Pelodiscus sinensis: one gene and its partner. The protein of the gene in region 2 interacts with the protein of the main gene of each other region in a biochemical or structural test. Links are inferred from orthologs where the notes say so. Each region holds a gene or a part of one and is shown on either strand. Other genes may lie near its edges.

The links. The genes of interacting proteins can lie anywhere in the genome.
Region 1: the proteins of TRIM28 (region 2) and CBX3 form a complex in vitro, tested with the Homo sapiens proteins (2 studies listed by BioGRID). The link is inferred for Pelodiscus sinensis from reciprocal best matches to the Homo sapiens genes TRIM28 and CBX3.

What each region holds. Positions count from the first base shown.
Region 1 is NC_134712.1:197,287,614-197,291,357, reverse strand, and holds the start of CBX3 (chromobox protein homolog 3), read left to right. Parts: upstream 1-1,036; coding exon 1,037-1,117; intron 1,118-1,176; exon of another isoform or gene 1,177-1,347; intron 1,348-2,710; exon of another isoform or gene 2,711-2,736; coding exon of another isoform or gene 2,737-2,760; intron 2,761-3,744.
Region 2 is NW_027465849.1:2,733,040-2,736,783, forward strand, and holds the start of TRIM28 (transcription intermediary factor 1-beta), read right to left. Parts: upstream 2,521-3,744; 5' UTR 2,208-2,520; coding exon 1,991-2,207; intron 1-1,990. UniProt on the Homo sapiens protein: Nuclear corepressor for KRAB domain-containing zinc finger proteins (KRAB-ZFPs).

The sequences.
Region 1 (3,744 bases), on a different chromosome or scaffold from region 2:
CGAAACAGGCTTCCTCGACTACGAAGGTCTCTTCGGTAGTTTCCGACAAAGAAGCGGGAAAGCCTCTCGCGTCCGAATAGAGCCGAAGCTCCCGCTTCGGGTTTTTCCGGAAATTGCCGGAGCCGCCCGGAGACCGATCCCAACAGCAGCAAAAGGACTATAATTAGCCAAAGGGGCCCCCTTTCTCCACCTGTGGTGCTGGCAGAGCGTGGGCAAGGGCCACGGGGCCAAACCCGGAGCGCGAGGAGTGCGCGGCCCTGAGACCCCCTTTGTTGGCGGGGCGGCCCCTTTGCCTCCGGACGCCTGGGAGGAAGTGGCCCGATTTGGCGCCAGCAGCGAGACGCCGCCTGCCAGGCCCGCGAGCGAGGCGGACCCCGCCGTAGCCAGCTTCGCGCACAGCGGCCCCGCAGCCCAGGGTGAGTGGCGGCCCCAGTTCGCCGGGGAAATGGCGCTTCGGCAGCTCCCCTCCCCCCGCCGAGCTCAGTGGGGAAATGGCCGCGGTCTCCCACCACCCGTCTTCGAGGAAGTGGCCGCATGGTCGCTGGGCCCCGGCCCCCAAGCCCCTCTAATGCTCCCCCCCCCCCGGCCTCCGCTCGCTCCCCCGAAGTTCCCCTTCGTAGCCCACCAGCCCCTCAGCCGATGCGGGAGCTCTCCGCGGCCAGCTCGGCCTCTAGGCCCGTCCCGGGGCCGCGCCCAGGCAGGGCTGGCCGTTGGCCCGGCGGCTATGGCGCGCTCCGCTGGGCCCCGGCACTCACCCAGTCGCTCTCTCGGTCTCCGCGAGGCATCTTGCTTCGCCCAGGCGCTCGACGAGCTCGCGTCCCCGTGTTTCAAGCCGCTCTCTGGGAGAGAAGCCTTGGCTGGCCCCCCTCTCGCTCGCGCCTGCACTGGTAGCGACACGGCAGCAGCAGTGGCGGCGGCAGGAGGCTGCAGCTAACGTGTAGGCGGCGTTGTGCGCGGTGCCCCGCCGCCAGCCACCGCGCAGCTCAGCGCTCCCACCCCGCAGCAGCCGCCCCAGCCTCTGCCCCCACCCCCTCAGATGTCGCTGCTGCTCAGTGCGCGCAGGGAGCAAGGAGGAGACGGGAAACCCGAGTCGCCGCCACCGCCAGGCACCATTGAAGTCTGTATCCTTCTCTCTCTTCTCGTTTCCCATTTAATCTCGCCAGGAATTGGGTAGCGCCCAAAATTCCTTGCAGCTGGGCTCGTGTTGGGTGTAATTGCGGAGCTCCCCTCCCCCTCCCCTCGCTGCCCGCCTTTACCTGAAGGGTGGCTACTGAAGGCGGGTAGCGGCGGTGCGGGGGAAGAGGGAGCTGAGCTCCGGGATCTCTAGTGGGTGCTTTGCCCCCATAGGTAGGAGGAAGGCTCTGGGCCCTAACAGGGAGGGGAGCGCAGCGCTTAGACGCTGGGTGCAGCCTGGGGAGAGGCGGAGGGGGGTGCGTTCAGGGGACAAAGCGACGCCGCCAGCCCCGAGGGCGGTTTTTCCACTGTCCGCCCAGCTTATTCTTGGAGCGCAATGGTCGTGTTCGGTGAGGGGGCAACGTGGCGCCGGGAAGGGGCCCTCGTCCTTTTTTGAGAGCGGGTGTGTGAAATGGTGGAGTGTAGGTTTAGGCAACACGCATGACTCGCCGGCTGTTCCCTCCGCCGACTAGAGGCAGGGGCGCAGGGTTTCCTCCTCTGCGTTGGCGTGCAGGTTGGCCCTACTCCTTGCTCAGCTAGTCCCGTTAGGTCACCCGGGCCTCGTATGCGCCCATCACAGGCCTGTGGCGCAGCCATACCCTTCATTCCTGTGCTATGGGCCTTTGTTTCCCTCCTCTTCTCCCCCTCCCCCCTCCAATCGCAATGAATCCTAGATGAAGTGCCCAGCAGCAGGGCCCAAGCCTCTGCCTGTCCTTCGCTGGACTTCTTGGCTACAGTACCACCTCTCGGGCTGCAAGGGGGTGAGAATTGGGCAGGATCGCTGAGTCAAAGCCCTCCTCTGACTTCCATATAGGCTTTTTTTTGCCTTGATCATTTTGTGATTTGCAGGGATGGGTGACTAAATGTATGCCCAAAGAGGTGGTTAGTGTAAGCAACTGCATGGGAAAGAGGATGAGTTTTCTTCAGACCATGTGGTTTTTATGTAATTTATATAGGTTAATTCAATGTATATTTCTTAATTAAGCATTTTAGTCTTCGCATACAGTGTACACAGTTTTGCAGTTTGTATCTGTATTAGCCTTAACTCTTGCCTTCTGATCCATACATTTGCAACATTATAGTTTTAATATTCTGCAGTTTATATTTCCTGCTGTGTCAGGATTACTGGTAACTCACTAGTGAATTATGCTACAGATACTTTGTTGCTAACTAAAATTTCACTTTTGCATCTTGAAAATGCTGTTAAATATCTTAGTTAATTGCTTGAAACTGAACACTTTTCCTTCTTGGGTTTAAGGAAATGGTTCTCCCCACCTCTCTCTGAAACATCTCTGCCTTATGCTGGTAGGACTTTCTTGCAACCTATCATACACAATCAATAGCTAGGATCATGACTAGCATTATGGTGTGTTTGTGCATTCTGCTGGACAAAGCAGTAATCTTTTCTGGATTTAATCCACACTTGACATGTTATGTGCAGTGAACACATGGGGGTTGGAACAAGGACCATGCTTGTATGGGGATGCCTTTTTCTGAGTAACTTAAATTTCCTTTTAATTGTCATGCATTTTTCTAGTAAAGCTCTGCAAGTCTGCAATAAAAATGGCCTCCAATAAAACTACATTGGTAAGTTCATGAGCACCTAAAATATATAAGGATTTTTCTTCAAAATTATAACTTGGCATCTCCATGTAGAAGATACATCCACATCTCTCCTCCCCAGCATTATTCTGACTAAAATCTCAGATCCAGAAACTAAGGCTAATAGAAAGGACATTAACTTTGGCTTAAATAAAACTGCTGTTTTCCAGTGAAAGACTTACAAACAAAACAAAATCCCTTCTCTTTTTAATGGAGGCCTGTGCTCCAGTTCAGCTCTCTGACTTTCAGTGAAAATTACGTTTAATAACCTTTTACAGAAAACACTTGTGATTTTTTAGCCTCCTTTCAGCACCCCATGTAATTCATTGTATATTTAAAAGGGGGGGGGGAAGCATATTCGTTTTAACTTCTCCCTAGCTCCTCAGCTACAACTACGAGTGCAATTACCTAATACTAATATGATGGGGCATAGTGTGGATTGTGGTTAGAGCTGTTAGTAAATAACGATTCAATTGGATTTCATAGGAGCAGAGATTGTTTCCCCTATCTGGACCATTGTAACAGGACTTTGACATGTATCAAGTTCCTATGAAAATTCTTGATGTTAAATTGAGCCCAAAAAACTCTGAAGTTGAAGACACATAAATGCCACAGTAGTTGGCTTAGTATTCATTTAGCTGTGGCAGTACATGTTTGTAAAGGACAACAGTGTGGAAGTCTGTGCTCTATTTACCTAGTAGAAAAATAATAGGCAAATAGTACTTACTGACTAGTATAGCTAGTTTATCCCACATCCACACAAATACTAGTATCCTGTCTCCTGTCCGTTAATTGCCTAGTTATTTTTCACTGGACTGCAACTATATAACCCAGGGCTACTCAACTTTAGAAGACCCTGGGAGCCACAATGATACTCACAGAACATGCCAAGGGCTGCAATAAGTGTGGTTGCATATACATACAAATATATATGCAAATAGTTTCTTTCACACTGACAGGCATGAATAC
Region 2 (3,744 bases):
TGTTCTTTAAAATAATCATCACCATCTCCATGTTATCCTCATACAAAACAAGTGCCTAAATCAGATCTGAATCACCTCTCCCACTTTTACAGGTAGTCCCTTAGAGGAACAGAACTGGATTGGCAGTTCATCAGTTTAATCCCACTGAGGCCAGGTCCACACTAGAAACCTTTACTGGAATAGTAATGTTGGCTGAGGGTATGATTTCTGTACTGGGAAATCATATGATGCAACTATAGTTAACTGGTATGAGGTGCATCTGTATTTAGGAGAGTTTGCCAATAGAGTAGAACCTCTAAGAATTATATATAACTGTTACAAATTGACTGGTCAACCACACCCCTCTCCTGGAACAGAAGTATGCAATCAGGCAGCAGCAGACAAACCAAAATAAACTACTGTATGTGTTAAATGTGAACTAAAAAAGTAACATTTTAAAAGTTATGACAAGGTATGGAAACTGTTCATCCTTGCTTCATTTAAACGGACATGGCTAAAAAGCAGCATCTCTTCTGCATACCTAAGTTTCAAAGTTATATTTACTTAATGTTCACCTGTAAACTTTTGAAAGAACCATCAAAATGCTCAGAACATCTCCATTCCCTCATAATGGAAGTCCTACTGTGAAACAAGACCAGTCAACTCTTCCCAGTGTAGATTAGGCCTGAAAACCTACAGCATTTGAGCATCTAAATCATTTGAGCATTTTGGAAAGGTCTCCCTCCTTCATGGAAACCCTGCTCCCTACCAAGAGCAGACAAGTGTGAAACCCTCTGGAGTGCTACTCTTTTCACCCAGCACTTACCTGAGGCTTCCTGTGCCAAAAAGTATTCACTAACATATAGGAATTTCCTCCAAGTCCTTGCCCCATTATCTAGTCAGAATCCTGTAAGCACTGGGTTAGTAGTGTAACAGACAGGTATGGATGCATGGGTTGAGGAGAATAGTGCTAGGGAAGCTAGTGCAAGTAGCACATGGGGTGGGGTAGGAGTGGCAGACTAAGAACCAATCTGGGGACACAGTGATCTGGTAGACAGGACCACTAATTCAGGGCACTAAGGGGGACAGAGCAAGTCAGGGAAGGAAGTTTGGGAGCACTCCTCTGATGCACTTAGGGAGGAGTGTGCTGCTATAGGAGACTGAGGAGGCATGAATGGGACCCTGGAGATAGTGAAGGACTTGCTAGGGGGTGAGGCAGACATTCAGGGAGGTCTGTTGAAGCAGTGGTTTGGGGGAAGACATTGTCCTAGGGAAGTGCCTAGGTACGGTTATGGCAGGCAGGGCCCCCCTGGAAGGACCTCCTCCCCCACCCATCTCACTCCAGGGGAAGAAGTGTCACGCCCACTACACAGCTCTCCTGCCCTCAACCCACACCCTCCATTCCTAATCCCACCTACTACAGAAGGGACACCGCCTTGTGGAGGCCTTACACCTAATGCACACCCCCTCCCTCCCTTGCAGGAGGGAGATGGTCACCCCTGCCCTTCCCCCCCGTCCCCTTCCCCCTCCCCCCCCACAATGCACACGGCCCCCCCCGTGTGCTTCCTCCCTCCCCCCCATGCCCTTCCCCCCTCCCCCCCACAATGCACACGGCCCCCCCATGCCCTTCCCCCCTCCCCCCTCAATGCACACGGGCCCCCCCCATGCCCTTCCCCCCTCCCCCCTCAATGCACACGGCCCCCCCCGTGCCCTTCCCCCCATAATGCACACGGCCCCCCCGTGCCCTTCCCCCCTCCCCCCCACAATGCACACGGCCCCCCCGTGCCCTTCCCCCCTCCCCCCACAATGCACACGCCCCCCCCGTGCCACACGCCCCCCCGTGCCCTTCCCCCCTCCCCCCCACAATGCACACGCTCCCCCGTGCCCTTCCCCCCTCCCCCCCATAATGCACACGGCCCCCCCAGTGCCCTTCCCCCCTCCCCCCCCACAGCCCTTCTCTGCCCCCACAATGCGCAAGACCCCCCCCCCACTTGACCTCCCGCGCGCTCACCTTGTCCCTCTTTATTGTTGGCGGCCTCCCCGTCGGCGGGCGGCTCGGCCCGCAGGCACTCCCGGCAGACCGAGTGGAGGCAGGGCAGCAGGCGGGGCTCCCGCTCGGCCCGCAGCCGCTCGCGGCACACGCCGCACTTCTCCAGCAGCTCCATCGCCTCCGGCCGCTTCTCCCCGCCGGGGCCGCCCGCCTCGGCCGAGGCCGCCGAGCCCGACATGGCGGCCGCCCCCCTTCCTCCTCCTTTCCCGCGTCTGCCGGCGAAGCGGGGGGGGGGAGGGTCGCCGCGAGGCTAGCGCAACGGTCGCCGGAGGGGGGAGGGGCGCCCGCACGCGCTCGCGCCGCCAAGTCGGAGGGACGTTCGCCGCGAGGGCCGCGCGCGCGCCGCTAACGGCGATGGAACGTTCACGGCCCCGCTGCACAAAGCCTAGGAGACAAGGGGAGCTGCGCGCGCACACGCACGCCGCGCGAGACAGAGAGAGAGAGGGGAGGGAGGCGGGGAGAGAAAAGCAGAAAACCCGCCTGCCTGCTTTGGCGTCGCTCCTCCTACAGGGAGAGAGCGACGGCCAATCGGAGCTGAAATAGCCCACGAGGGCGGGCTTAGCAAGGGGAAAGTCGGGCCGGCCGGCCAATCCGGGGAGAGCGTCTCCCTACGTTCGGCGTAGGGCTGGAGAAAGAACGATCGATTGAAGTTGATGCCAATCGCGGGGCTTAGGCAGGGAGGTGGTGGGGGAGGAGGGAGGAGTGAGGAATGACAAGACAGAGAGCCAATCCGCTCCCCCGGTTGCCGGGAGGCCGCAGAATACGTAGAGACTGACAGGAGGTGAGGGCGAATCCGCTTTAGGCGAGGCAGGCCTGCCTGAGTAGAGCGTGGAAGGCGCCTCAGAACGGTCGGTTAATAAGGCTCCGCCTCCCGCATGCCGAAGGCAACAGCCAGTGATTGACGTGTCTCGAGGCCAATCAGCCATCGAATCTTCCCCCGGGGGTGGGAATTTTTTTGATTAGCATGGAGCGGACCCGGCAGGTTTCCTACCTTCCAGGAGGAGGCGGGATGTAGGTTGTGACGGACAGGAAAGAGAACCAATCAGATCATGAATTACCTCAGGACCGACTCAATGACTGACAGGAGTTGAAGCCAATTACTTCATCCTAAATTCCCGCTGCCCAGCTCCTGCCTGCCCACAGAGGGCATAGGAATGGGGGGGGAGGGAATCCATTCCCCCCCCCCCCAAAAAAAAATCCCTGAGGTTTATCACTTCCCTCAAAGTGGGGTGGGGGCAAATTATGAGTGAATCTGGAGTGACCCAAAGGACACTGTTTAGCTATGTGGAGTCACTCTGGATTCACTCTGGATTGACCCAGAGCAGGTTCCACCCCACGCTTCATTGGAATAACTTTAGAGTCACTCTGCACTGACCCAGTGAAGGGCCTGCTCTCTGAGCTCAGGAGTCACTCTGGAGTCACTCCAGTTTGACCCAATACAGGGTCCCGCGCCACTGAGCTCAGTGGAATTGCTCCAGATTCACTCTGTGTCCTAATATAGGGCCCCAACCGGGTGAGCTCAGTGGAATCGCTCCAGATTCACTCTGTGTCCTAATATAGGGCCCCAACCGGGTGAGCTCAGTGGAATCGCTCCAGTTTCGCTCCAGTCTGACCCAACCCAGGGTCCCTAGTCCACTGAGCTTTGGGGAATCACTTCAGATCGACTCTGGTCTGACCCAATACCCGGTCCCACCCCACTGAGCTCAATGAAATCA